Regions from separate parts of the Mus musculus genome. Here regions 1 and 2 are each reported to be linked to region 3. Evidence: microRNA targets listed by miRTarBase, many of them from high-throughput screens and not tested one by one. Region 3 holds a microRNA gene; each other region holds the end of a gene's coding sequence.
Evidence for each region. Region 3 holds the annotated microRNA mmu-miR-30c-5p (UGUAAACAUCCUACACUCUCAGC, at 5,285-5,307, shown strand). A microRNA usually pairs through its seed, bases 2 to 8, with sites in the 3' UTR of a target mRNA and lowers its output. Matches are read on the target gene's strand: a 7mer-m8 pairs with bases 2 to 8, a 7mer-A1 pairs with bases 2 to 7 and ends in A, and an 8mer does both.

Region 1: the mRNA of Tbc1d5 is a reported target of mmu-miR-30c-5p. Seed matches in the 3' UTR shown: 7mer-m8 at 9,187-9,193 and 7mer-A1 at 9,022-9,028.
Region 2: the mRNA of Hoxb3 is a reported target of mmu-miR-30c-5p. Seed matches in the 3' UTR shown: 7mer-A1 at 3,808-3,814.

Annotation. Positions count from the first base shown.
Region 1 is chr17:50,726,627-50,736,366 of GRCm38, forward strand. It overlaps Tbc1d5 (TBC1 domain family, member 5), which reads right to left. Exons shown (of 22, transcript NM_028162.4): 22 at 6,501-9,618. The coding sequence ends at 9,319. Among named protein-coding and RNA genes, the nearest start is that of Gm41598, 59 kb to the right of the region's middle.
Region 2 is chr11:96,343,595-96,354,019 of GRCm38, forward strand. Hoxb3 (homeobox B3) reads left to right here. Exons shown (of 4, transcript NM_001079869.1): 3 at 506-1,102; 4 at 1,952-4,336. The coding sequence starts at 655. The coding sequence ends at 2,805. Hoxb3os (homeobox B3 and homeobox B2, opposite strand) reads right to left here and starts at 9,800. Exons shown (of 4, transcript NR_155303.1): 1 at 9,466-9,800; 2 at 4,700-4,794; 3 at 3,233-3,295. It overlaps Hoxb2 (homeobox B2), which reads left to right and starts at 8,038. Exons shown (of 2, transcript NM_134032.2): 1 at 8,038-8,601; 2 at 9,356-10,422. The coding sequence starts at 8,217. The coding sequence ends at 10,035.
Region 3 is chr1:23,286,430-23,296,854 of GRCm38, forward strand. It overlaps Mir30c-2 (microRNA 30c-2), which reads left to right and starts at 5,272; the gene lies at 5,272-5,355.

The sequences.
Region 1 (9,740 bases), not on the chromosome of region 3:
TCGCCATCTCTCCTTTGAGTGTAGGATGACCCCAACGTGTTGGAACAATAAATTCCTCTTGCTTTTTCCATCGATTCCTGGCTCTGTGTGGTTTACCCAGGGAGACCCTGGTAAGCTAAGGCTCACCAGAGTCTTATAGTTCATTATCTAAAACTTCTATTCTCGGGACAAAAATCATCATACAAAAATCTATCTGAATCCAAAATATCTTGGAGACTTGCTGTTGTCTCCTTAGAAGATACGGTAAGCTGGGGTTCAGTATTATAGGTGCTGCCTTCGTTGATTTATACCACATGGTCATTTTATTCATGATAGTGGTGAAGTCACATGACATGTACTCTTTAGCTTTAGTAAAAAATGGCTGCAAGCCACGTGGTCGCTATGTACTCCAAGGTAAGCCAATCAGGCATATATCCATTTCTTTCTTTTCTTTCTTTCTTTCTTTCTTTCTTTCTTTCTTTCTTTCTTTCTTTCTTTCTTTCTTTAATCCATTTTTTCTAAAAAAAAATAGTTAAATCCAAGGTACATATACAATATGCAGTAGCAAATTAAGATCACACTGCCCCCACACACTATTAATTTTTTATTAGAAGTTTTAAACCAACTTTTTGTTAAAGATTTTATAGAAGTTTTAAAACTGCAACCAATGAATTTACCATGAGTTTACAAATCCTGAGATACACATCTTGACATAAAACTTTTAGTTTAGAAAAGGTTTTAGAGATACAAGAGAGAGAGTATTTAGAGTTGAATAAAACCAAAAAGGAGTAAGAGCTAAGCAGCTGTAATCCCTACTGGGGAGAGTTCACCTTTTAGCTGCTTTAAAGCTCAAGTGTCCTTTTTTGGCCTATCCTGGCTCACTTCCCTTCTTCCTGTAGGGTCAGGTAGCCTGCCTGATCCAGGACAGAGATTTTAGAAAAAACATTTAAATAAGCTTGCTCTGGTCTAGAGAGAAAGGGTCTTCACTCCAGAGCCAGGTTTTTATAGAATGGAGAGCAGCATTACACTGTACAATATTATCCATGCCCAAAAGACACTTGGATCTCTGAGGACTGAACAGTGGTCAGAGTGAGGGACAGAGCAAACCGAGAGCGAAGAAGGCAGAGACGAGAGCAGGGACAAAGGAGGTTGAAAGGGAAGGAGCCAGCTCAGTGATGGTGCAAGCAGGAAAGCAGACATCTGGGAGGCTTAGGGGAAAGGGTCAGGAACAGGAGCTCTGTCAGAGGGAGGGGTCCATATCTTAGAGGCCCAAGAGGATGTAGAGAAGTGTCCTAGATAACAGGCTAACAAGGAAAGAGAGAGACAGAGACAGAGCAGGCTGCTCCAAGGTGAAGGTGAGGAATCTGCAGGCAGGAGCTGAGAGCGGGGGGGGGGGGGGGGGGAGAGCAAGTTCTAGGAGAGAGCAGAGAACATAAAGGGAGAGCAAGGGTGGGAGGAAGGGTAAGTGTTCTGCTGACACGAACTTCAGCCAGAGTGTTCCAAAGAAGATCAAGAGACTTGTCAGAGAGAAATGTCCCAGATTAGGAAGGAGAGTGTCCCTTTCCATGCAGTAGGTACACAGCAGAGCAAGAGAAGCTGCCTGATATACTAGCATGGCTTCTGCAGCAGCAATGGGTTCCAAGAGCTAACAGAGACAGGGCAGGCAGTTCCAAGGTGACACATACCTGAGTGCTGGCACAGAGACAGAGCCTTTCTACATGCCCAGGAGAGTGTAGAAGGCTCCAGGAGCCGGAAATGCCCTGGAGAAGCATAGAGGGTTGAGAGAAGAAGTGGCTGAAGAGGTAGGTGACTCTAGAATTTGTAGTCAAATATGGTGGGTAGCAGAAACCAGCAGAGACACATGATCCATACCTTAGGAGAGTCAACTCAGCAGCTTGGCTCAATTAGGAGAAGTTAGATCCCTTGGAAAGGGGGCCATTTGTGCCTCCTGGGTTTTTGGCACCAGATGCATAAACTGGTGACATTACCATGCAATGGTATATTTAAGGCTTTATTTTAGACATGAGAGCAAGAACAGCCAAATGCATCTGGAAGAGCCTAGAGAGAAAGAAGTAGCCTGGACATGGCATGGAAAAAAAAACCAGGAGAAAAACGAGAGAGAGAGAGAGAGAGAGAGAGAGAGAGAGAGAGAGAGAGAGAGAGAGAGAGAGAGAGAGGAGAGGGGGAAGAATGAATGAATGATTATATCTGAACTAGGAAGGTTCTAAGAAGAATGAGTGGCTGAGGAGAGAAGACTGAGCGTGAGGGAGTTTGGGGTAAAGGACGGGGTGAGTAGAGACACACATCCCTTCTGTCTTTTGAAATTTGAGGAAATGGAGTTTCTCTTGGATCTGACAGTAACCAAAACCATTGGGAATAGTCTATAATGTTTTGGATAATGTTATGGGACCCTTTTTGCCAATAATTTAAAAAAATATATATATAACCCATTCCTGATACTGAATGGACCTAGATGGGGAAGGGGAAACAGACTACAGTATCATAAAGGGATAAAATGGAAACTAAAATAATAGGTGTGGTGGTTTGACTAGGTACCCCCCTTACACCCCACCCTCCTGCCCAGACTCATGAGTGTGAATGCTTGGCCCATGGGGAGTGGCACTATGGAGTAGGTGTGGCCTTGTTGGAAGGAGCATGTCACTGTAGTGGGCTTTGAGGTTATACATGCTCAGGGTTATACACTCATTGATACAGCCTCCTTCTGCTGCATTCGGATCAAGATATAGAAGTCTCAACTCCTTCCGCAGCACCATGGCTGTCTGCAAGCCTCCCTGTTTCCTGCCATGATGATAATGGACTGAACCTCTGAACCTCTAAGCCAGCCCCAATTAAATGTATTCCTTTGTAAGAGCTGCCTTGGCCATGGTGTCTCTTCACAACAATGAAACCTTACCTAAGATAGAGAAGTAAATGAGAGGCCAGGTTAAAGGAGGGTAGGGAGCAAGGGACAGCAAAGCCACTTGGAAACCTACTATTGTAGAAGCTTTCTCTGATAGTGAATATATAAAAGGAATCTAAATGGAGCCACCGTAGAATGAGGAAGATGACGTCTTACTTTCACGATGGGTGGAGGGTGGACTGTTTCCTGGCTTACCAAACCCCAAGATGAGGTGGCTCTAAAATTATACTGTATGGTGAAACCCCGGAGCAGCTCAGAGAGGCACAGTGCTGGTTGTTGCTTGGTCACCTCTAGGTGACCCTGTGGTTACCCTCTCTGCAGTGCCTGCCGCAGGCTTTCTTTGAATCTCTTAGAAACAGGATTCTGAGAAGCCAGCAGCAGCCTCGTCCCCACCCTGCAGGCCTCACACAGTTGCATTTTTATAAAAAGTTTTATTTATACTTCATGTGCATTGGTATTTTGCCTATATGTATGCCTATGTAGGGGTGTCAGGTCCCCTGGTCAGTTACAGACAGTTGTGAGCTGCCACGTGGTTGCTGGGAATTGAACCTGGGAAGAGCAGCCAGTGTTCTTAACCACTGAGCCCTCTCTCTAGTGCATTTTCCTTCTTTAGGTGGCCAGCCAGAGGGTCTGTGCTCTGGTGCAGGCTGTTGTGGATTGAAGCTGCAGAAGCTGCCGTGGCTCTGCAGAGCCTTGAGTTCAGAGCTTATGCTACCCCAGGCTTCCTTGGTCAGTGGTGGGCCTCAGGGCTGAGCAGTGTCCAAGACAGACATAAAGTACCTGCCCTGTTAGCTATGTGGGTGACAACTGGATGTAACCACATACAGTACTGTTGCAGGGAGCCAAGCATCTGCCTGAGATGGAGAAATGGGCTCCAGAGCTACTGTCCACAGTGTCCCTCTTAACTGGGAGAGGGGCATCCCCAGGGTGACTGAGGCAGGCAAGCTTGAAAGACGCTAACATTTCCCGACATTGGGTTCCATTCCAGGCCTCTGGCCTTCATGTTCCTGCTGGAGGAAAATGACAGTGGCCTTTCTACCCCATCATTGCTGCCTATGCCCCGTTTGCTCATCTGCTAAGCCCTACATCTCTCTAGCTAGACTGTAAGTTCTAAAGAGCTAGAGATCCATCTTTTCATGGTGAGTCTTCAGCTCTGGGCAGGGTTTGACAAATGCCAGATCCTCAATAAATAGTAGCAGCTAAGATATGGGCCCTGGTTTCAAGGAGGACGTGGTGACCAACTCTGCTATGAATACACACAGTAGCAGCAGGGAAGGCCGAGGAAGACCTGCAGCCTCAGGACAGCTTGGAGATAAGTCTCACTAATTTGGACATGGGAGGAAGATACCACCACTGCACAATTATCCACCCCCAGAGCTTAAAGCCACCTCCACCTGTCAGTCTGCTTGTGATGTAAAAGAACTTGGTTGTATACCTTTGCTCTACAAGGCCTGCCCTGTTTTGTGTGACCTGGGTCCTGGAACTCTAACAGAAGCAAGGGAACAGAGGACACACAGACACCCACAGAGTAAAGTTGGAAGTAGGCTACTGCCCCACCCAGAAACTGTTTACTGGGCACAGCACAGAGGGGAGGAGTTATCTAGTCTCTGAAGGAGGGCTCTGGAGGCAGGTTCAGGCTATAACCATCTTTGCACACGCTGCAAAACATAACCACTGATGCTTGGACTCAGGAGGAAAGCTTTGCCGTTCCTCAGTGCTTCACCCAGGTCTTTGCCACCTGAGGCCTTGGAATTCATAACCTGGCAATGTCTATGCCAGCAATACACATTCAGTCAAGACTTGGCTCACCCAGGGCGAACTGTAGCATGGTCAAAATGAAACCACACTGTGAGATCTCAGGATGCGATGCGGGTTGGGGCCAAAAGGGATCTCACCTAAGGGCTGCCTGGCTGGTCAGGTTGGCACTTCTAAGGTGGAGGCTGGGGAGCAGGGATCAAGGAGAGGAAGCTGGACGGGTGTAGCTTTGATGTGAGGTAGGCTGGAGCAAGAGCTCACTCTATGGGATGAAGAAGAGGTTACTCCTGTTTTTATTGGAGGGGTGAACTGGAGACTTGAAGGACACTCACTGGCCACACCTAGCAGACTGGGATAAGGACAATTAGCCCTTATTTACAATGAATAAATTGAAGGACAGCAGGGCTTGGCTTGGGCAGCTGAGTGGGTGTGGACCAAGGGAAGGGACAAGGAGGTGGCTATGCCATGTTGAGGTCAAGGATGCTGTGGGAGGGTTGAGGTGAATGGCCGTAACTTTGCATGGTGGTCTTCATTGTAGTTCTTTCACAGGAAGATGGCCCCCACTACAGCTCCATTCCCCTCAGTTTCCTTAACCACAGGCAGAATCCTGCGTCTGGGTTCCCATGACCATTGTGGTCTGAGTGTGCTCCACTGCTTAGTGAAGGACTGCCACTCTCCACAGCAAGTACCTTTGGGGGAGAATAGAACCTATGAGGCTACCACAAAACCAGTGCAGAGCATTTCCTGAGCAGGAAGGAGGTGTCCCCACCGCTCACCACATGGGGGCAGGTGCCTGACACCAGACTCCTGCCCCTCCTAGGCAGGATGGAAGCCTTCATCTGGGCTCCCTTTGTCACGGGCGCCTCATCCTGACGCAGACATGTCTCTCCATAGACACACATGGGCAGCTATGGAAGGAGCCCTCCATGTGTGGTTGCATTCTGATGCCAAGTCCTTCCTACAGCAGATGTGCTCCAAGTTCAGAAGTGCCCAGCGGCACAGATACCTCAGAGGATGTTGGCTGGCAGATGCAAACTTCAGAGTCAAAGTGTTCTGAGGGACAGAAGCCACTCCAACATGGCGTCAGCCACAGAGGCCAGCTGGCAACTGGATAGGCCTCGGTTAAAACCTCCCATGTAGAGGGGCTGTCCTGGGTATGGATGAGCCCTGTGTAATTGCTCTTGTGTTTTGAACTAGGGCAGCCCTGCCTTGCCTGAAGGACTCACCCTTCAAGCCAGGCTCAACCTTTAGCCCAGAAGCAGGAAGGATGGAGAGGAGGCTCAACACGGGAGGAGCCTGTGACAGGAGCCCAATCTGACAGGAAACCCAGGGAACGGCTAGCACTGGCCTAGGATGTTCCTGAGGTAGAAGTGAGAGGTTCAGACCCCAGATCCTCTTAGGTAGAGCTAAGTAGGAAGAAATTCCTGTAGCATTGGTCAGCCGGCTTGTGGCTGCTGGGACATGCTGTGTCCACTGGCTGGCTGGGCTGGGTACACGGTAAGTGACTGCTCATGAACTGTTGTGGGTGGCGGTGGGGGCGGTGGGGGTGGGGGTGGGGGTGGGGGAGGGAGGCTTCTTCCTTCAGCAGCTCCTCCAGAGCCATGACTACTCCTGAAATGGAGCATCATTCCATAACCTTCCCTGGGACAGCAAGGGGTGAGAAGTGAGAAGCACTGGTGTCTTAGCGGTTAGGAAGCAGTCTCAGGAGACTATGAAGGTTGCCCATGCTGTAAAGGAAGGAAATGCTAGTGAGGGCGAGGCATGGCCAACACCAGCCCTGCTGGCCAGGCGCTTCCATGCTCTCCGGACCCCAGAGCTATGTGACTGGAAGAAGTGGATGTGATCCCAGTTCTCAGTAGTCCTTTATTAGTACACATCAAGTGGGCTCGCTCTGCCAAGGAGGCATTTCCTACATCAGTATGAGCTCCGGCACCAAGGCTCGTGAGGACATTGTTGGCACTGCTGGGATATCAACTAGATGAGCCGAGCCTCATGCACCGAAGGAAAACTTCCACACCAGCCTGGTTATAGGAACGACACCTCTTTTCAACAAGAGAGAAGCAGCTTTTGGGCCTAGCATGGAGGAGGCCATGTGATCTGTGAAGAGCCTGCCGCCACAGCTCTCCATGCACATGGCCTCTTCCCCAGCTCTCATTTCCTAGCAGTTCCAGGGTGGGGAAGGGAGATGGCACTGGCCGGTGCAGGGCCACAGGTGCTCCCCGCTTTGTCTTTAGTGGCCACTGGGAGAGCTTTTAGCAAGCAAAAGCAACCTGTACTGAACAGCAGGTTATACTAGAGTTTTGGCATTTGTCCAGCCTTTCTGACACTAAAGACATGGCTGGCAAGGTTGTCCAGCACAGCCAACCCGTGCGGAGGAGATTCACCCCTACGAGAACTGGGCTCCGGGGAGGCAGCTGCCCTCCAGAGTTACACTCAGCAGCAGTGTGGTCACTTCAAGTTGCAGTTAGTGCAGAGCAGAAGGTCATCTTGCCAAGCTAAGCCAGGAAGTTCTCGAGAACTGAACCGAGGCACTGAACCGACCCTCTGTGGCACACAGGTATGTTTTACTTCACACTTCCAATCTGATCAGAGAGGACTGCATGAAACACAGAAATGTGTATAAAAAAGCAGACGACAGTAGGGCTTAATCTAGGCTTGGCTTGTATAAAACTGTATTAGCTGCTATAATCAAAATGTGAGAGATTAAAACTGATGATTACCATGTGGTTAAAGAAAAAGGTTCTATATATCCAGGACTTTAAAATGTACAATTAGACAGAAGTACCTGATAAAATAACAGGGACGGAATGCATCCCAAACCAGCAGTGTAGGTAACCAAGGGAAGCAATGGTCACCAACGAAGAATAGAGTCACTTAGAGAAGAGCTTTCCATCCTTGGTTCTTCCAAGGAGAGAGTGGCCTGCCTAGGGACCATAGAAACATCTCAGTGTGAACCTGGGGTTCTCATGTGGCACCCACACAAGCACAGGAGCGGGGCACATCACGGGCATGGGCAGGGCAGGTAGGTCGAGGGGTTATGAAATGTCCATTCAAACAGTAATGGGTCAGCCTATCATCTTCTTGGCCTGGTGGGTAGCCAGTGATAGTTATCTATTGACCTTATTCTCAACGCAAAGGAGATGCTGGGGACAGGGCTCAGCAGTGACAGACATGGCCGGCACTGTCCCAGACCTGGATGGATCAGTCAATACTTCCCACACTAGATCTAAGGTACTGACACGGTTATGTCAAGGCTTTAAGTGGAATGCTTGCTGGAAGCCTTCTAGCAGGGATGGATGGTGGCCCTGATTCTTACAGAGCAGCTTCATGGGACATGTATGCAAGCAGGCTCCTCAGAATGCTGAGAAGACTGGTCAGAGGCAGGGGGTAGAATTCATGAGGCCATGACTGAGCCCCGCCACCATGTGAGTGAGCCACCAGCCCTGCTATGCAGTACAGCTAAGAAGCCTGCAGAGCATCCTGACATTAGCATTCCTGTCTGTAGAGAATTACAATGCTATTAGTGGGTGGGGCACTGCCCAGAGGCCCAGCTGCTCTCTGAGGAGGACAGAAGGCAGAGGTGACATCTAACAGATGCTACATCTATCCACCATTTCCACTGTCCCTAGCTTTGTGCCCAATACAGCTCTGTACTCGGCCAATAGACGGGGAGATGTCTCATGTATACCCAGCCCAGGCAGGGGCCCCGAGGCAGGCAGGCCCATCCTTGGAGTGTCTGGATGCAGAGTTTACAGCTGAGCTCCAAGAATAGGGTGTTGGGGGTTGAATAGGAGCCCTGTATCTTGTGGTACCTGGAACGCTCTACAGGAAACCTGCTCCCACAGAAGGAACTCCAGGTCTAATTCCCAGGAGGTCTGACTCCGGGTTGTGCGAATGTGGTTTTCCTCTGTGCTCCTCATTTAACAGGCCACTGTAGCTCTAAACATGCTCAGAGACCTGACCGGAGAGCTCTGGACACATTTCTCCAATTCAAGGATGTTAGCCCTGTGACTCTTAAAACCATCTCAGAGCAGACTGGCGTGGAGCCACTGCACTCCCGGCTGTGGGGACTCTGGAAGGAGAAATCCAGTTGTTCAAGGAGGAACAGCGGTGGCTGAAGCTTAGGAAGCCCAGGGTCCAGAACTGTATTTGTGTCAAACAAGAATCTGATTCCTAATCTGAAACCCTGCTCCTACAATTCACTCTGACTCCAGCCCTGGGAGCCACCCGCTCTGCTCCCTCTGTGTGGCATGTTGGGCTTCCAAGGCAGGAGTGAGACTGCCTGCCAGATTCACTCAGTATCAACAAGTTCCCTGTGGCTGAAGCTTTGATAAGGGGAAGTTGTGAAACCAACTTTTCCTTCTGAGTGTAAACTGGCAGAGCTGCTGGGGAGGAGGGGACGGAAGACATGTGGCTCTGATGTGGTCTGCTGTGTCTGACAGTGGGTATGGAGCTGGGGACCTGACCTGGCCCTAATTGGAACAAGGGTCACAGGGTCAGGTAAGGGTCTGGAAACCTCTATCTGCATTTTGGTAAACATAGTGCATTGAAAGAAGCATAGTTGCCTCTTTTTGTAAAGAGTTCCAGTGGGTTGAACCAATGCCAAATGCATGCTGGGAAAAAGACACTGGTTCAGCAGGGTGTCCGCCAGTGGGGCCCTGTGCTCAGATGTCCAAGGGGCTCACAATGGTGAAGCCAGACTCCTTGCTGCTGTCATCATCGGGGCTGGAGCTGGGGTTGCTGGAGGAGGCTGAGGCTGAGGCTGGGCCCATCAGTGGGTCTGAGAACAGCAGTGGGGAGCAGGCTGGGGCTCGGCTTTTCCCAGATGTGCTTCTGAGGGTGAGAAGAGGCTGGGCCTGGCCTGAGAAGGCCCCCCTGGCACGGTGCCCCTCATCTTCTTTGGAAACCAGAATGAAGTCATCTGGGGTCGTTCCACCGGTGCACCCTGGCATCTCTGAAGAGGCCTGTGAAGTAAAAGCAGAGGAGAAGGCCTGTGACTGCAGGGGTGACTGACAGCACTCAACAGAGGCCTGGGTGGAGTGGCATGGAGGCCAGATGGCCATCTCTTCCTGCACCCAGTTTGGAA
Region 2 (10,425 bases), not on the chromosome of region 3:
ATGGAAGGAAGAAAGACTGGAAGCAGAGAGGCCTCCCTAAGGGAAGGAGGACCTCTGGGATGCTTCTACTTTAGAGTCTAATAGTGCCCTCTCCCTGGGATTGCCCCATCCCAGGGTTGGGGAGTTGCGGGGGTGGGGGAGGTTAAGGAAAAATTGTAGAAGAGGCCAGGGGTTGGTTATTTCGGGGTGCCAGAGAGAGGGGCAATGGTCCACGAAGCAGTGGTGTTCTATTCCTAAGCGGTCCTCGAAGGAGTACAGTCTTGATTTTGTTTTAAAAAAAAATGGAAATGAAAATGGATGTTTTCTTTTTCCCGTTAAAATTAAAGTTGAAGTGTGAAGCATCCAAGTCAGGTTAGATACTTGGTCTCAGCGTCTGCTGCAGAGATACTGGCGAGGGGAGAAGAAGAAAAAAAAAAAACTATTGATGTCAGTTCCCTTTTTAGTTCCTAAGATGGATTCGAGGCCCAGTCCTCTTCTCCCCTCTGTCTCTTCTCTCGCCCCGCAGGTCAGCCGCTTGGAACAGACCCGAGAGGAGGGGGGCAGAAAGGGGAGGGGGGTCCGGCGTGTCACGTGACCCCCAGGGGTGCCAATGTCCGGTCGTGAGGGTATCAGGCCCTTGCAAGTTGCCACCCACTGCCCGGGCCTCGCCCAGCGATGCAGAAAGCCACCTACTACGACAACACCGCAGCTGCGCTCTTCGGAGGCTACTCCTCGTACCCTGGCAGCAATGGTTTCGGCTACGACGGGCCTCCCCAGCCCCCCTTTCAGGCCGCCACGCACCTGGAGGGTGACTACCAGCGCTCAGCGTGTTCTCTGCAGTCCCTGGGCAACGCCGCCCCACATGCCAAGAGCAAGGAGCTCAATGGCAGCTGCATGAGGCCAGGCCTGGCCCCAGAGCCCCTGCCCGCACCTCCGGGCTCACCCCCACCCAGCGCCGCACCTACCAGTACCACTAGCAACAGCAATAACGGGGGTGGGCCCAGCAAAAGCGGCCCCCCCAAGTGCGGTGCCGGCTCCAACTCCACCCTCACCAAACAGATATTCCCCTGGATGAAAGAGTCGAGGCAAACGTCCAAGCTGAAAAACAGCTCCCCCGGCACAGGTACCAGCTCTCTGCCTTCCTAGTCAGCTTTTGTCCAACCCAGGAATTTCACTGTTATTATAGCATCCGACCCCAAGGCGCCCACAAGGCGGCCTGGAGACAATATTAGATGGCTGCCTAGTGCTTTTTAGCTACCTCTCACTACCTGATGACCTCTGACCTGACCAACACCCAGTCCATCCAACCATCCTCCATCTGGGCTTCCAAGAGTTTCCAGGAGGTGGGATGGTTGGCTTTACAGCCCTTCCCAAGGCCGCACCGCCTGGAGGCACAGAGTCATCAAGGATAGATTATTATTAAGTATGATTATTGTAGGTATTAATCACCATCGCTCAGGCAGCCTGGGGTCCCGGCCTGCAGCCACCCGAGCCTCTATGTGCCACACATCCAGGCCCTGCCCACCAGTGTCCAGTCTCCCCCCCCCCGCCCCCCTCCCAAGGTGTTCTCAGTCACTTGTCTTGTAAAGAGGGCGGACAGAAGGGAGGAATCACCTCAGACTTGGATTTGGATATACGGGGAGGGTGCGCGCACACGCAAAATCCTAGCCCTAAATAAATGGCCACGCAGCTCTGTCTGTTTGACATGATCAAATTTTCATAAGCTGGGGCCGTGAAAGGAGAACAGGTCTCTTAATAAATGCCACTATTATAGAGTGTCCGCTAATGCGACGGGAGGTAGGAAGGGGGGGGGTGGTGGTGTAGAGGAGGTGGGGACGCGAAGGGGAGGGCAGCGGGGCCTCCGAGTCCAGGCCTGGATTTATTAAGAAACGATGCATTCAATTTCGGCGTGTTCAGTAATTATCTTTTATTTCATTTTCTCCCCTTCCCACCCCTCCCCCCTCGGGTCCAGCAGAAGGTTGTGGTGGTGGCGGCGGCGGTGGTGGCGGCGGCGGCGGCGGTGGCGGCGGCAGCAGCGGCGGGGGCGGCGGCGGCGGCGGGGGAGGGGACAAGAGCCCCCCGGGGTCGGCCGCGTCCAAGCGGGCGCGCACGGCGTACACAAGCGCGCAGCTGGTGGAGCTGGAGAAGGAGTTCCACTTCAACCGTTATTTGTGCCGGCCGCGCCGGGTCGAGATGGCCAATCTGCTGAACCTCAGCGAGCGCCAGATCAAGATCTGGTTCCAGAACCGTCGCATGAAGTACAAGAAAGACCAGAAGGCCAAGGGGCTGGCCTCGTCCTCTGGGGGTCCCTCTCCGGCCGGAAGCCCCCCGCAGCCCATGCAGTCCACGGCCGGCTTCATGAACGCCTTACACTCCATGACCCCCAGCTACGACAGCCCGTCCCCACCAGCTTTCGGCAAAGGCCACCAGAATGCCTACGCGCTGCCTTCCAACTACCAGCCCCCTCTTAAGGGTTGCGGCGCCCCACAGAAGTACCCCCCGACCCCGGCGTCGGAGTATGAGCCCCACGTCCTCCAAGCTAACGGGGGCGCCTACGGGACGCCCACCATGCAGGGCAGTCCGGTGTATGTGGGCGGGGGTGGCTACGCGGATCCGCTGCCGCCCCCTGCCGGCCCCTCCCTCTACGGCCTCAATCACCTTTCCCACCACCCCTCGGGGAACCTGGACTACAACGGGGCGGCCCCTATGGGCCCCAACCAGCATCATGGACCCTGTGACCCTCACCCCACGTACACAGACCTCTCCTCTCACCACGCACCGCCTCAGGGTAGAATCCAAGAAGCGCCCAAACTGACACACCTGTGATGGGAGGGGCGGGCTGGGGAGGGAGGGGTGAGGTTAAGGGCCAGGGAGACGGCGGACTTGGGGGATGGGCGCGGTTTAGAGTCCTGAAAGAGGTGTGGGATGGGGTTGTCGCCAGGTTTCCAGAAACAGAACAGGCCTGGGGTGCCTTCCCAGCTCCCAGGCCCCCTCCCCGCCCCCAGGGGCTGTCTTTTAAGTCCTCCATGCCTGGTTCCATCTGTCTGCCAACAACCCTTGGAAAGGAATCCACAGCAGGTTGGAGACGGGACCACATCAATCCCAGGGTTCCCAGGGTTCCAGCACTACCAAGTGGGAATTTCAGATTGGAGAGGTGACGTGGAGTCGGGTAGAGGGAGCCAAGACAGGCAAGCAGGGCAGAGAAGCACATTCAACACTTAATGGCTTGGCTATCAGCAAGCAATCAACTTACCTTGCATCTCTGTGGGTAATTTCCCCAAAATCTTGATTTTTTTTGTTCTCCCTTTCAGTCTCCCTGTGAAAAATAAGAAAATACATTTAAATCGAAGGGCACAAAGTATGTTTCTCTCCTACTTCCCTGAAGCTTCAACTCCCCCCATCCCCCATCTGTTAGGCTTCTTACTATATCTATCATTTACTATGGCCCTACGGTTGGTTTTCTGCTCTAAGGACATTCATATCTACACCCCACCCCTATTGATTACAATTTTCAGAGGGCTCAGGGATGGTAAGATATCCTGAAAGTCAGAGCTGCCTATAATATAAATAAATATATATTTTTTTTCTTTTAAAGAAAAGTTAAGAGGCTAAGGCAGGCAAGTTGTCAGGACTGGAGGCTTGCCCATTCTCCAGTCTCTCAGCTCCCACCCCATCCCACTCCCTCCACTTTCTTTTTACTTCTGTTCTTCTCTTGACTTAACGTGAAAACAGGGTATATTTGAACAAACTGTCTGTCCTGGCAGGTGCTGCAGCTGGACCTGTGGACCTTGCTCCAGTTCCTGACAGGACAGTCTTGTTGCACTTGGAGTTTACATTTTAATGGATATTAAAAAAAAAAAAAACAACTGTGAGAGATGTCTGGGCCTGCAGAAAGTCCAGCTTCGCTCAAAAAGCGTGTGTTCTAGTGAACATTTTCATATATATTTATTGGTTATAGCCTGTTAAAATATTTTCTTTTTTGTATTATTTATCCCCCTACATTATGTATTTATATGAGGGACAAAAAAAAAAAAGAAAAATGTACTTTTTTAGTATTTACTTGTTATAAAGGTTGTTGTGTTTCCTGTCATGTAAAACCAGCTATTTTAGTTTTTATTGTATTCTAGACAAGAGCTGTAGATTTATGTTAAACTCGTACATATGAGGAATTGTAATTAGTTCTAAAAGGCATGAACTCAGCTCCTAAATGTCACTGTATAGTCCCGAATTTGTAGAGATAAGAAGTTAATTCTCTCTTGGAACTTTCTTTGTTCTTCCGTAGTTATTTTTTTCCCCCTTAGTTAAAAGAGTTGTCTGTCAAAACAATTCTTGAATAAACTTTCTGTTATTAATTTTATCTTGTCATGGTGGTCCAGTTCAGGGTGCAGAAAAAGGCTCTAGTGGCCAAATGTCCCCTAGCAGGAGGGCATTGGTGACACTCCCCAGGCTCTTTGCTCACTGCTCAGGTCGCTGTCTCCCCTTCCTAGTGTTTCCTGCTTTCAACTCAGTTTTTGACATTTGTACCAGTCTGGACCATTCTGCCAAGTTCTTCAGCTAAGGTTTAAGCAACAAGCTTGGGGGGCGGGAGGGAGGGGAGGGAATCTTGGGCTAAGTCTGCTCTTTGCCTGTCTGTTTTTCTTAGTCACTGGCCTCTTTTGTCCCTTTGACCAGCACCTCCAGGCACCCCCTCTGTTTACATCCAGGCAACCCCAAACCTAGCTTATTACTGCTTCTTCCAGGCAACCTAAACTTCACGTTCTCTTCCGGAGCTACAATGAGGCTGTCACGTGACCCGAAGCCCAACCATCATTGGGTCTAAAATGAAAACAAAGGAAAATGATTAATCTTGGGGGGGGGGGACAACAAGCCGAGGCCTAGACTTCTCAGGTCAAGCCTTAAAACTAAAGCGAAATCTAATCATTAAATGAAGCCCAGGGCAGAGGAAGAGGAGGACTGGTTAGATTTCTCCTGCCAAGGAAGAGAAGGGGGCGAGAGGAAGCTGTAGAAACCAAGCTTAAATAAAATGGTCCCCAGGCTAACGTGAGGCTCTGTTTCCACGATGCTTGGGAAAACTTCATTTCTTAGTCCTGGTTCCATAAAAGTTTTATCACATTGGAGCGAGGATGGAGAGGGTCTGTCAAAGATGAAATGTCACCACCGCATAGCGGTATCCGATGATAAGAGCAAGAGCGAGGAGACAGGGGAGGCTGAAATATGGAGCTAATTCGTTGAAAGAGAAGCGATGGCTGCCCGCTGAAGAGTTACATAATTCTAATTGTAAGCGATGAACCCGCATTGCTTAATTAGGAGCATATATTTGGTGGTAGTGGTGATACGGGGTGGGGGGGGTGGGGATATAAGAATCTTTCCAGGCCCTCAGCCTTAAAGCGAGGGCTGATTTTCATTTTTATGTTGTATCCTGGCAGTCCAAGGTTAGTAATTACAGTCTTTATGCAACAATAAATAACAATAAAAAAACAACCTGAATAATACGCCCCCTCCCCACCAAGTAGAATTTTTTTAACTGGACTTGGCTCATCTGGGCAGCAAGCAATTTAGCATTGGGCCAGGCTATAAATTAAAGGCAGAGGAGCGTGCAATGTTTGATTGGGATCAAATAACGCTCAAGGGTCTGTCTTTCCTTTTCTCTTCCTCTTCCCTGAATACCATTTCTGAATGATATAACTATGAGAAGGGTCATGTTTGACTGTGAGGGGAAGGGTGGATTGCTTATTTATCTAGCTGAAGAGGAACCAGATAAGAGAGAATTTAGCTAGCTATATTGATATATTGTGGCTTGGAGCTAGGGCTCTAAACAAAAATAGGACCTACCCTTCTGTTTTCCAGATTCTAGGTCTAAAGCTGTTTAAAAACATGGATAAAAATCTGCTCTGTAAGGTAGCAGACAGGGCTGGACGGATGTCTCTGGAAGGGAGGGAGGGTTGGAGGGTTTTCTTGGATCCCCACTTTAACACCCAAGTTTTCTACTGTTCACTAATCTGGCCATAAAATCTGTCATCAAGGGTTAGAGAGCTGTATTTCCTACAGGACAGTCTGGGCTCTGGTTGTCTTAGGAGATCCTTGGATGCTGCAGCCAGCTGGAGTGCCTGTTACAAAACTTGTGGAAGTGCCCATGCTGCCGGGGAGAAGGCCCTCTCCCAGGCCTTACTGTACAGGACTCCCTTCCAGACAGTTACTATTTGGATTCTCCTCTGCTAACCACCATCCAGGAAAATATATGCATACATTGTTTTGTTTTAGCTAAGGTACACAACACCCTCTCTGGCCGCTGGCCTAGTTAAGAGCAGTTTCCCAAGAGCCTGCCTCTTTCTGTCCTTGCAACCACCACCTCCAGGTTTCCCTCCTTCCCCCCCCCTCCCGCTTCCCGGCAAACTTCTCTGCCTTTTTCTTTTCTTTCTTTCTTTAAATACTCACCACCACCCACGCGGACGTTACACTGACAGAAAGTTTCTAGTTCCAGCTCTCCGCTGAGTTGCCATTTCTCTGCTAAGCAGCCTTCTCCTCTAGGCTAGGCGACAGAGAGCGAGGAGGGGGAGGGGAGGCCAGAGCCGTGGGAGTTCTCCGGGGCAAACTTTCCACCCAAGTTAGCGCCTTCCCTCTGTCCCCATTTCCCATCTGTTTCCTAGATCTCCCAGAATCACCTTTCTCTTTGGCTCCCCCCTCCCTCAGGCCTTTTTAAGGGATATGCAATTTAGGTTGTTCCCTCTGCTTTCCCAAAGAGCCAAATTCTTTGATGCAATCGGAGGGAGCTGTCAGGGGGCTAAGATTGATCGCCTCATCTCCTCTTGGTCCCTCTGACCCACTTATTTAAAAATCTTCCCCCAGCCGACTTTTCATTTTCAGCTTTGAGGCCTAGTTTCCCACCAATTTGCTTGTGGCTCTGAGGTTTTTTTGTTTTTGGTTTTTTTTTTTTTTTTTTTTTTTTTTGTTGTTTTTTGCCTCCTTCCTCTAGTAAATCACAATATTCTAAAATTGAGCCCATCATAGGTGCCTCACCATAGAATACATTACATTTTTTTTTCTCTCTGGAGGCCCAAAGCAGAATATAATCTCAGTGGTGGTCATTATCCCCAGCCCCCTCTCCCCCACCATCTTTAGGAAATGTTTTCTTACCAGGGATTTTAAAAGTAGCCCAAAGGCAAATACAGAGGGGGAAATCCCTTTGTCCAGAGGGCGACTGTGCACTGACTTTAGCTTTGAAAGTTAAGTGGATGGCTACTTTGGTGCCCTGGATAGAGACACAGATACACCTGGGGGCCTGTGAATACATCTGTCACCTTAGACCTTCTTAGACCCTCCTATTGCCAGGGTTGGGGTGTCACAGTGTGAGTACAGATGACCCCAACAGGAAGGCAAGTGGACATAAGAAACTGCTTGTAAATTCTGAGCAGAGACTAGAATCCAGGGCACATAGCAAGGGAGGTAGGCCCATGTCCCAAAGTGCTCCTGGAATCTATGTCCCTGCTGCGTGCCAGCTCTGTGCATTTCTTAAGTGTGAACTACTGCTTTCTGAGGGTGGGTGGGCTGCCGCTGCTGCTGGTGTTTAGTGCTGTCCTTTATCCATCTCCTTTCTGATTTCCCCCAAGGTATGGAAGCCTCTTTCTACTCCCACTTCCCCCTAAATGAGATTTTTTTTTCTTTTCTTTTGGGGGCTGAGGTGGTGGTAGGGTAAGAGGCTACTGAGGGCCACATAAAGAAAGCATATTAACTCACTCCATTTCTCCCTTAAATGTGGTTGTTTGCCACCACCACACAGTCTCTGAAGGGAAGGAAGAGGTTCTTTTGGCTTTTCTGGGAAAAGAGAGCCATTAGGGAGAGTGTAGGGTACTGATGAAGGAACAGGGGTAGAGGAGGAAGCCTCATGGTATCCAGGTCGTGGTCCTCTGGAGTTTTTGAATCAATTAAAGCAAATAATGCCTGTGTTTTCCACTAGGCCTAGACTAGCGATTGGCGGAGACCGGTCCCGTGACCATGAATTCCCTGCAATTTCGGCGGAGTCCTGGGTTTAATAGAGAGAGTCCCCATACGCTTGTATTTATCAGCAATATACAATTATAAAGGCCTAAATTTAAAAAAAAAAGAGAGAGAGCGAAATCTCCCCCCCCCCGCGAAATTGCTCCATTGCATAAACCTGGGGGGGGCGGGAGAGGGGGGTCCCTCTGATTCTCCCTCCTGACGCCCCCCCCAGCAGGCCCCCTCCCCCACCATTGAAAGCCATGAATTTTGAATTTGAGAGGGAGATTGGGTTTATAAACAGCCAGCCATCGCTCGCCGAGTGTCTGACTTCCTTCCCCGCTGTCTTGGAGACATTTCAAACTTCATCAATCAAGGAGTCGACATTAATTCCTCCTCCTCCTCCTCTGGAGCAAACCTTCCCCAGCCTCCAGCTCGGCGCCTCCACCCTTCAGAGACCAGGGAGCCAAAAGCAAGCCGGAGATGGGCCTGCTCTGCGGTCACCGCCGCCACTCCCCGTTGCCCCCCCAGCCCCCGAGTTCCCCTGGATGAAAGAGAAGAAATCCACCAAGAAACCCAGCCAATCCGCCGCATCCCCTTCTCCAGCCGCCTCCTCGGTCCGGGCCTCCGAGGTCGGATCACCATCAGGTGGGTAAACGTATTAGGGGCGGGGTGAGGGGCAGTTGGAAGAGAAGGGGAGAATGTGAGGTGATGGGGCTCCTGGTGGGGTTCCCTAGGTCGACGGATCTGGGGCGAGGGAAGCAGAGTATCCCGCTGGGGTTCAGGCCTAGCCACTGTTAGCTTCCCCACCCCCAGAAAATTTTGGAAGCTGATTGAGGGTGGGGAGGATGCTTTTTTTTTTTTTTTTTTTTTAAATGTGCTTAGAAAAAAATGATTCGATTGAAGGGTTTCCCCGGTTTCTGTGTAGAGGAATGAAGCGTGTCTGGGATTGAATCTGGAGCCTGGAAAAGATGCGATGCCTCTAGCTCTCCTAAAGCTAGGGAAGAAGAGGGAATTCAAAAGCTAGGAAGGAAAGGGGTGAAGAACAATCTATGATCCCTCTCTCCCCAGGTTGAGTTGGAAAGTTCTGAATTGAGGGGTCCATTGGGAGGACTTGGGGGAGGGAGACTCTGAGGTCCTGGGAGCTAAGAGAAATTGCTCCCCGCCCCCTACGTGGCCCGTGGGCGGCTCTGAAGGCACCGACTTGACCCGGGCCGGGTCTGCCTACGTGGAAGAGCACTAAAAAAAACCCCAAAGACACAGAAAGAAGCGCTGTGGGGGTGGGGTGGGAGCCCGAGTAGGACTGCTGAGAGTCTTTTAAGCCAAAGGGGTGCTCCCGATCTCAGCTAAACGGAGGCTGCGTTGAGACCTCTCTGATAACATAGGGGTGCTTCCCTCGCAGATGGCCCCGGATTGCCAGAATGCGGCGGCAGCGGCTCCCGCAGACTGCGCACGGCCTACACCAACACGCAACTGCTGGAGCTGGAGAAGGAGTTCCACTTCAATAAGTACCTGTGCCGGCCGCGTCGCGTCGAGATCGCTGCCTTGCTGGACCTCACCGAAAGGCAGGTCAAAGTCTGGTTCCAGAACCGACGCATGAAACACAAGCGGCAGACGCAGCATCGAGAGCCGCCCGAGGGAGAACCAGGCGGGCCGAGCGCCCAGGACGACGCGGGAGAGCCAGCCGAGGAACCCACGGTCAGCCCGGGCGACGTCGCGACTCACCGGCTGCGGGAAGCCTGCTTCCACCCCGCCGAGGCCGCGCAGGGACCCCGGGGCGCACCGCCGTCAGCGCTGCCTGCCACCACCCTGGAGAGTGTGGGCGCATCGAGCCCCGGCTGCACAATGCTCAGAGCCGGAGGCCGGCAGAGCGAGCCCCTACCCGAAGACGCCTGCCCCGAGCGGCAGGATTCGCCTTTTCTACCGGACCTCAATTTCTTCGCTGCAGACTCCTGTCTCCAGATGTCCGGAGGCCTTTCACCCAGCCTGCAGGGTTCTCTCGATAGCCCCGTGCCCTTTTCCGAGGAAGAGCTGGACTTCTTCACCAGCACGCTCTGTGCCATCGACTTGCAGTTTCCCTAACTGTTTTCCATCTTTGGTCCTTTCCGTCTGGTCCTCCTTGGCTGTTGGGGGCGGGGGGAATCGGGCCTTCTCCACTCGTGGATACATTTATGCCGTTTTGTTAAAATCCAGATAGTAACGAATTAGCGTTTCATTCACTCCTTTTCGCTTTTTAAAACCACACACAAAAAATTCCACTTGGTAAAACTCCTTCCAACGAAATCTCAGGAATAATTAAACTCTAGTGGGAGAGGGTTTTCTTACAAAGAACTAGAGGGACCTATTTTCCTCTTTTTTAAGTTTTAGATTGTAGATTATTTATTAAAATTGTTTAATAATAGGAAAGGGGGAAAGTATTTATTGTACATTATTTTCATAGCGTAAATAAATGTCTTTATAATATGAAAACGA
Region 3 (10,425 bases):
TACGGATTGCACAAGAAACACTTTCCTGGGCCCTCTTTCCAGCTCTGCCCCCTTTTAAATCTTAGATAACTTTTAGCATAGCATTTTAATTCTGTTGCCTTTTTTAATGCTGTATTTCCTGGCATTTTTATAATATTCACTAAAGTTATTATAATATGCTTCTTTAATTTGTTATAATCAGTTTAAGATCATTATTAATGTAACACGGATTAAACGAGTACTGAATGATCACTTGGGCGCCTTCACTTTGAATCTGTCTCCAAGAAGCATCGCCATAGTGTGACCCCTCAGGCTTGCCTACTAAAAGTCAAAACTGAACATACAAATTGAACAGCTCTTGACCTCCAAAGAAGATTTAATCATTTATAGCATCTACTCCTGTTTACTGTGCAGTTCTTTAAGCTGAGGTTTGCATATTCTTTCCTGGTTAGATTAGGCAGCCACTGTGTGGCAGTGTCAGCCACCAACACTGCAAACTGTGCTTGAGCTCACTCCTGCAACGTGAAACTCCCATTTCTGCCCCGTCGGGCAGAGAAGCAGTAGTGCTTTGGGTTCTAGTGACACCTGCTGGTACTTTGTCTTTTTTATTTTCTCTAGACTACTTTTTGAGAAAGAATCATTTAATCCATTAGGATGTCATAAAAGGCCTCCTTTTTCTGTGACTATTAAGCTTTGCTATGGTTGCTAGAAGCAGCAACAAACGCTTGGACTTTACATTTGGCTTAAGAGAAAGATCTGTCCTCTTCCTACAGGAAGGATTAGACCAAAAGAATGAAGACATTGTTGAGTGGTAAATTTAGAATGTTTGTATAATAGTATCACAGAAAGTGCTTATAAGGATAGGTACTCTAAGAGAACATGCCTGGGGCATCATAGGATGTTACTATGTTATTTAATCATTTTATAACACCTGAGGTACTCAAAGGCTAGTTTAGCAGTTTTACTCCATTTCTGGTGATGTTACAGTTTCAGATGAATGCTGAATGATGAGAGAATTCCAGTCACAGAGCACTGATGTAATTTTTATACTTGTATAAATATTGCAGGAATAGATTCTCTTTTTAAAAATTAGTACTGACAACAAGGTTAAAAATCTTTGAGCCAGGCGTGGTGGCGCACACCTTTAATCCCAGCACTCGGGAGGCAGAGGCAGGCGGATTTCTGAGTTCAAGGCCAGCCTGATCTACAAAGTGAGTTCCAGAACAACCAGGGCTACACAGAGAAACCCTGTCTCAAAAAAAAAAAAAAAAAAAAAAAAACTTCTTTGTTACTCAGCCCCTCCTTTGTCCTTTCTCTGGTCACATTACAGCTTTCACTTTCCTGTGCTTTCCAGGTAACCATTCCCAAAGCACCTGCACATAGTTGGTTGATGGATTATAGACTTGAAACAAAATAGCTAGTATTTATCAAAGCTACTGTTTGTTATACTGAAGCCTTCACTGAAGAGACAGAATAGTTTCAGCATCCTAAGTCATGCCATTAGCCATTTGCTATTCTATCAGAGCAACAGTTCTTTCTAAAGTTGTTCCAGTAGCAACTATAGTAAATGCACAAGATTTACCTAAAACATTGATAGGACTACAATTTTCCAATTAAATTAAAAAACAGTGATTAAGTTTTATAGTTGTCTAATAAGTGTTCCAATTTGGCAACACTGATCAAAATACCTTCTGTTTGGCTACTGCCATACCCCCCTGTCCCTATGGCCATAGTCAGAACTAGCTAACTTTTCAACATAAAAATCCACATTTGTTTATTGTGACTAACAATGTCAAAGTGACCTGTGTTTACAGTTCATGTGGAAAGAGGATTAAAATTGGGTGTGACAATTTTATTTGAACATTTTCCATTTACACCATTGAAAAAATACATATATCATCATTCAAACCTTAGGGTTTCATAATGTTTGATTATTTTTTGGATGTGTTTGTTTTTAACTTGAGATTTCCCACTTAAAACAGCAATAGTATTTTTTAAATATAAGATTCAATTATATTAAATTCATGTGTTTTTTCTTCTACGAACAATAGCTTAAGTAAAACAAGCATAGAAGAGAAGGTGGTGGGAATGAAGATCCCAACGTTTAAGGAAAATGTAATCAGATATATTACATGAGGATAGTGGCCTCCTGACTTTAATCTGTTCACAGAGTTTCCCAGAAGATTGTCTATTCTGTACACTATAGAATTTGCTATGTCTTGGTTTAAACAGTATGATTTCAGTTATACCAAGAATCTAGACAGAAAATCCCATCAAGCAGTTCTGGATGGGAGAAGGGAACCTTTTCTTTGAGATGAACTTAAGAAGTTAATGAAACAGTGGACTTTTTCTTTTTTTTTTTTTTTTTTTGAACAAAGAATATTTTCATTAAGCTAGAGAACTCTTGCGTGAGATAAAGCTCCACATTTTGTGAGGATAGTGTTTTACTGACTCCACAAGAACATATTGCTGGTTATGCACATATTGTAACAATGCAGTGAGGTACTGAAACTGCAGTTAGCATCCAGGGAAGAGCAACACAATAGAATAGGAAAGGTGAAGTTGTGATACATGAAAGTTACTGTTAGGTTTTGTTGTGACTTCTTCATAGTTCCTTAGAAATTCCCATGTAATTCATTGTTCCTCACAGATTTATTTACTACATTGTAGATATTTGGATTTGGGGGTTATAACTAGGGGCTAATGATCCCCTACTCTTAGAAAATAAAATGTATGTAGTATGCATGGCTGGTGTATGCCAAGCCACACATGAGGAGGCCAGAGCACAGCTTAGTAGAGTTGGTTCTCTCCTTCCATTTTGGTTGGGAGTTATACCCAGGTTTTCAGGTTTGGCAGCAAGCACTTTTGTATGCCTTAAACCATGCTGCCAGACCATGTGCTCTTCTACATGGATGGGCAAGATGAAAGTGACATGAAAAGTTATAGGCAACTTAGCCTAAATGAAGTATATGCAAAGGAGAGGGCAGAAGGTGCAGTAACCGGGAGATAATCAGAAAATAGGAGGTATCTGATGCAAAGACGTCACTACCTGCCTAGATGAAGGATTCTTCAGGAATTAGAAATGCTCATGGCTAAGTCCTGGTATACAAGATAAGTCAAGCTTCAAAGGGTTAACCATGGTTGTCTCTGTATTGTTTATAATTACTTTAATTCTGGTACATTTGGGGTTTTTTAAATGAGGATTAGGAAAGACTAGTATATATCTTGAAATGTTAGATGTAGTGTGTTCTAGGGATTTTAAAAATCAGGTAATGGCCAAAAAAAATGATTTTATGGGGGGGAGACAGTATGCCAGGTTTATAGCTTAAAAACCTCAATCTAGTTGTTGGCACAGGGTAGGGTGGAGGAAAGTGGTGAGGTGATTTAAATACAGAGCCTTACCAACTGCCACTGGGCTCAGATACACACTTCGGGGGCTTTATTATTATTATTATTATTATTATTATTTAGAACTGAAAATGACCAAGTTTTCTTTTCCAGGAAGCTTTGGTGATGCTTAAAGACCAGAACTAAAGTTATGTTCAAGATTATGTTTAGTTCTTACAGACTGTTTGACAGTTTAAATCCTTAAATGATTGTGATTAAGGCAGTTTCCTTTCATTCCTGTCCATTTTTAAACTGTTTACATGGATGTCTCTGAAGTTATTTTTCACCCTGACTTTTCTTTATTTGGAATCCATCAGAGAAATAAAATTTAAAAATCAGGTGGTTCTCAGGGAGGGTTAACTTTCCCTAAGATCTTGCTGTCACTTAAGAAAAGGTTGGCTAATGTAATCACTTCTCCTCCTAGCCATGAATGCCATAGAAAAGTATAGCAGCTGTACTTTGAATTACTAGGCAATTACAAAGACTGTTTCTGGAATGGTTGTTCCTTTTCTTCTTGTTTTAAGAAATTTATATTCTTGAAGTGATTAGATTGCCAGATATTAGATAGCATCATTCATATATTTATTCTTTAAATACTGTTTATACCCAATAAACCCTGGTTCCATGTTATGGATTTTCATCAAATAGAATGAAATTGAGTAAAACTAAACTAAACTTCCCAGGAAACTTGGTTTTATAGAGAGATAGGAAATAGCAATACTAACAACAATGAACTATGAGTTGGTTATAGATAAACATTCAAGACATAATGATGGAGAAAGGACAGAATAGGTAGTTCCTATGGGGTGACAGGGCCCAGATTTTACCAGAGATCAGTGGAGGCTGCTTTGGAAGAGAGATGCTAGATTTGAGATTTGAGACAGTATGGGACTAGTTAGTCTCAATTACCATTTATTTTAGGGCTGATTCTTGACCCACTACTGCAGTACCTCCTACACTACGATTGATGCATCTATCCTGCAGATTAGGTTGTTTTGAGGATTGAGATTGGTAGTATTCATTTCTCCTTACCCAGCATTTTACATCACTGCTGGTATGTGGCAAGTACATACAAATGTTTATCTAATGCATGAATGAGTGATTTGTGTTCACACTGGTTCACAGGTGGTAGTCTCATCATGTAGGCTTGTTTTGTAATGTTTTATATAAGCGATGACTTTCTTCTTTGCTATCCAATAGATCAATTTAGTAAATCAACTCTATTCCAGGAACTGTTTGAATCATTCATTATCAGAAAAGAACTTAGGAATTGACTGGCTCCATTTATGTGTATGCCTCCAGTTATATATTTCTTTCCACATACAACATTTTAAATTTTCTAAGATTATGCTATATTTAGTGTACCAGCTTAATGCATTATTTTATATCCCAACCAACATGTTTACTCTGCTCATTGGATTGATTTATGACTTCATAACCCACCAATAAGATAAATGGCTGTCAGTGATTAAACTTTTGTATAGTCTTATGTCTGCAGATATAATTGAACAGTTGTTCTCAGTTCTGTTAGGAGTGAAGCAGAACAAAAATCATATAGCTGAGACAGCGAGAAGGTAGACTTGTTTTCCTAAAGTTAGAGAGCAGGGTAGTAATTCGAAAGGAAATTCCTCAGACCATTTTGGGAAAGCATAGAAATGCCTGGGTATTAGGGCCAAACCAGGAAATCCCAGGAGAATCCTGGCATGTGCAAAACAGAAATTGATTAGGCATCAAGAAGGTAAGCATCCTGCAGCCTTCTTACCGGCTCCAGACCTAGAAGCTGAAATTTAGTCCCAAGTACACTCTGTTTTCTAGCCCCTGTTCTAACACGTCACGGGATCTCCAGATGTTCCACGGCATCCTGATGCTTGTGCTGCTCACCGCCAACCTGCTCTAGAGAGCACTGAGTGACAGATATTGTAAACATCCTACACTCTCAGCTGTGAAAAGTAAGAAAGCTGGGAGAAGGCTGTTTACTCTCTCTGCCTTGGAAATCAGCTAAGAGAAATGAATTTTAGATGGCCTATAGGTGATCCTATCAAAGATCTGTTATGCGGTCAACTCTAAAAGGTAAAAGGGTGAGCTAATCTGTGCTAAGAAGTACAAGACACTTTGGGAGATTGGTTATTTTTAACTGTTTAAGAAGACCAAGTATGGTGGTGTGTGCCTATAATCCCACTACTCAGGAGACTGAGACTGTTGACTAGTTTAAACCAGGTTGGGTTACCATGTAAGATTCTGGGCTACATCAAGAAAGCTGTCTCATAAAAAGTTTGTATGAGACTATTATTTCATAGATTGCTGTGGTAGCCTGTTATATGAAGCCAATAATACACTAAATGCCTGCATTTTAGCTCACCAATTTTTCTATTAACTTGGCTAGCATTTTATATACTGTGTTTGTATTTTGATGGTGTCTGGGACTTGTTACTTTACCAGGGATGAGATGCAGTTTAAATCCTTATATGACAAAAACTTGCTATTTAAGGTGGGATTGTTTGGTGCAGTTGGGGGATATACATGAAGAGAATTTTAAGCAAAATCTATGGTACTACCTTCCAAGTTCAACTTTTTTCTTTTTACAGTAAATCATCTATATTAAATGTTTTTTGAACACCTCATCTAGAATTTGGGGTTGTGCAAAATGTGAGTTCTTTTTGCATTGGGCAATCTAACAAGCATCTACCACTAACCTACATCTCCAACCCCAACAATTAGATATTGTTTTAATCAATATCAAACGTCTTCTTTTCAGAGATACTGAAGATAAAAGTATATTCTTACACAACAAACTCTTAGGATATTAAAATACTTAATGCATATATTAAATTATATATATATATACACATATACAAACTTGGCATACTAGCATGCCTCAGTCATTTAAACCAAAAGACATTATATTGCCTTAAGTATATTAGAGAAGCATTTTGTTTCTTCAGAGCTCCAAATGTAGCATATAAGATAGCATGTAGGTCTAGTTTAAAAAATATATATATAAATACAGTGAGTTCAGCATGTGAGTTCAAGAAAGTATTTGGACAAACTGGTTTTATATCAGATAAAGATACTGTTGAAGTACTAGCTGAGCAACTCAGCTTGGATGAGTCATTAACCTTTCTAGATTTGCCTTCAGGCTTAAAGAAACCTTCAAGACAATGCTCTATATTCTCCTGAAAAGAACAGTTACTATTGATTGAACTTGCACTTTCTGCCAGGGATACAGGCTGCTCTGGACAAGGACAGCTCTGCTGGAAGTAGGTGGAGTCCGACACCACATGTGCTCTCACTGCTTTTTATTGAGAAATTAACAAGAAAGACACCTGGATATTCCATATCAAAACTGGCATTGAGTTTTAGCTCTTCAACACTTACTGAAAAGTATGAAATTAAGTGTATTATTAAACAAATATTTATCGACTGAGCCACTTCTTGGGTATAGAAATGTGGCAGAGACTTAGAAATAAATAATATGTCATGAGAGATCTGTGTATTCTATGTATTTATGTAAAATAATCCAGCTTTATTCAGTGATATTTTTGCCCTTTCAGTTCTTTGATACCAAATAAATTTTAGTATTTCAGAATACTATAGAACACTTGCAGACATAAACCACTTTCTTCCTCATATGTCTTAATAACAATAGTGAATGTGACATGGCTAACTCGTATAAGTAAACATGCTTAAGAGGTCAGTGTTTTCTTGATACATTTTATGTACATGTCACATGTCTTTGTTGAAAAGATATTGAACAACAATATGAACTAACCATTATCCCCAGAACTCGTGGCTCTAGCTGCACATGTAGCAGAAGATGGCCTAGTCGGCCATCGTGGGAGGAGAGGCCCTTGGTCTTGCGAAGATTCTATGCCCCCATATGGGGGAATGCCAGGGCCAAAAAGTGGGAGTGGGTGGGTTGGGGAGCAGGGGGAGGGGGGAGGGGATAGGGGATTTTTGGAGAGGAAACTTGGAAAGTTTGAAATGTAAATGAAGAAAACATCTAATTAAAAAAAAAGGTTGTTAACAAGTTATAAAAAAGTTGTATGTTTATTTACTGTCTGTTATATAAATGCAAATATCATTGTCATTATACAAGTAAACCTAATTACTTTGAAACCTTTGTTCAAATTTATAGCTTTATCTTCACATATTTGTATAATTACCGATGCTGTAAACACTTTAAAAGAATATGAGTAAATATCAGTGTTCTATTGGAAAAATAAAAAAGCTTTAATCAACTTATTGTAAACTTAATAAAAATAGAAATTTTGCCTATTTCATCTTTGAATTATTTTCTTGTCTTAATATATTAATTTTATGTCTAGTGATCGCTTTCTATAAAACTAACTTAGATTTCCCAATTTGAATATACTTATACTCTTCATTTTGAAACTATAGAAAGCAGGTTATTAATTACAGTATCAGTCATTGAAAAGTTAAAAATCAGTTATCGCTATATAAGTAACAAATGAAAATGAAGAAGAGTTGGCATATTTCGACACCATAGAGAAAAGTGAAGATAGGGCAGACTGATTCACCTTGTCATAAGGAGGCTTTCAACTCTGGGAGGTATGAAAGAGACAACTGTTAGCTGCTGTCTGGGATTTCTGGAGGTTTCCATAGCCACATATGAGTCCTTGGGTCTTTGATGGGCCTGAGTGAGTAAAGGTTTCTGCCACCAAGCCTGATGTTTAATCCCTAAGATCTACTTATTGAAAGGAGAGAACCACCTCCCATGAGTTGTTTTCTGAAAACCACATGCTAGCTTATGTGTACATATACAGCAAAACACTCATGAGTAAATAAATGTAGTAACAAATTAAATATCAGCCCTCCATCATGTTAAGGTTTTGAAGTGAGATTTCCATAAAGACAGGGATATAAATAGATTGTACATTATAGATTGTACATTTAGTGCTCTCAGTTTTAAATTTTGGAGTGGTTATTATAGTTGAGATTTTTTTTATAATTTTAAGGGGTAGGAGAATTTATGATTTTTATTTTTAAAATTTTCATAAAGGAAAATTTTCTTTTTTCTTTAATTTTAAACACTACTTTTTGTTTTTTAGTCCTATACTTAACCAAAAGAAAAGAGATTTTGACCCCTTTATCGATCAAATTCCAGCTGTTAACATGCTTCACAGAATACTGCTCTGGGGACAGTACAACTCCATGTATAGGTTATTGGGATGTTAGAGTAGCTGAAAAATGTCACTCAAAATGCTTTGGACAGTGCCATCCAACAATACATTTCAGCCCAAATCATAGTGGTATCAAGATGCACAACCAAACAGATAATCTAATTCCAGAAGAATTGGAACTATTAACACTTATCTGTAGTGTACTCCTGGAACACTATAGGCCTGAAAAAGACATCTAAAACTAATCAAAACTAAAGATTAAAAATTAGCTGAATAGAATGTGTGCCTTTAGAGTAACTGTAAACATCTTGTTGACTTTTTCAAAGGCTTTGTCAGTAAAATGTCAGCTATGGGGATTTTTTTTTTTGTTGTTTGTGTTAATTTTTAATAGTAACCTTCAGTTAAGGGGCAGGGAAAGGAAAGGACAGATGTTGGTTTTAAAAGCATGAACTCCTGATGTGTTGATTTCTATGACACGGGAATACAAAGCATAGCTTTTTAGCAGAAGCTTGCTAAGAGAATAAAAGAAATTTCGAAAATTGAGATATTTAAGTTTCAACTGTTAAAGAGTTGCTCCTGTTTGGTGTGTGTGTCGGGGGGTGGAGGAGGGAATGTTATTTTAAATTCCAAGGTTTATGGGGTAAACCCAGATATTGGGTAGTTTGATCATGCCTGGCAGTTGAGAGTTTGACAACACTCAGGACTTGACAGTGTTGTTCAGTTCTTTAAGACCTGTTGAGTTTTCTAAACAGCACTAAAAAGCTTTCAACACGAAGCGTGGGTGCTTCTTTTTTTTTTTTTTTCCATTTTTTATTAGGTATTTAGCTCATTTACATTTCCAATGCTATACCAAAAGTCCCCCTTACCCACCCACCCCCACTCCCCTACCCACCCACTCCCCCCCTTTGGCCCTGGCGTTCCCCTGTACCGGGGCACACAAAGTCTGCATGTCCAATGGGCCTCTCTTTCCAGTGATGGCCGACTAGGCCATCTTTTGATACATATGCAGCTAGAGTCAAGAGCTCAGGGGTACTGGTTAGTTCATAATGTTGTTCCACCTATAGGGTTGAAGATCCCTTTAGCTCCTTGGGTACTTTCTCTAGCTCCTCCATTGGGAGCCCTGTGATCCATCCATTAGCTGACTGTGAGCATCCACTTCTGTGTTTGCTAGGCCCCGGCATAGTCTCACAAGAGACAGCTACATCTGGGTCCTTTCAGTAAAATCTTGCTAGTGTATGCAATGGTGTCAGCATTTGGAAGCTGATTATGGGGTGGATCCCTGGATATGGCAGTCTCTACATGGTCCATCCTTTCATCTCAGCTCCATACTTTGTTTCTGTAACTCCTTCCATGGGTGTTTTGTTCCCACTTCTAAGGAGGGGCATAGTGTCCACACTTCAGTCTTCATTTTTCTTGAGTTTCATGTGTTTAGGAAATTGTATCTTATATCGTGGGTATCCTAGGTTTTGGGCTAGTATCCACTTATCAGTGAGTACATATTGTGTGAGTTCCTTTGTGATTGTGTTACCTCACTCAGGATGATGCTCTCCAGGTCCATACATTTGGCTAGGAATTTCATAAATTCATTCTTTTTAATAGCTGAGTAGTACTCCATTGTGTAGATGTACCACATTTTCTGTATCCATTCCTCTGTTGAGGGGCATCTGGGTTCTTTCCAGTTTCTGGCTATTATAAATAAGGCTGCTATGAACATAGTGGAGCATGTGTCCTTCTTACCAGTTGGGGCTTCTTCTGGATATATGCCCAGGAGAGGTATTGCTGGATCCTCCGGTAGTACTATGTCCAATTTTCTGAGGAACCGCCAGACTGATTTCCAGAGTGGTTGTACAAGCCTGCAATCCCACCAACAATGGAGGAGTGTTCCTCTTTCTCCACATCCTCGCCAGCATCTGCTGTC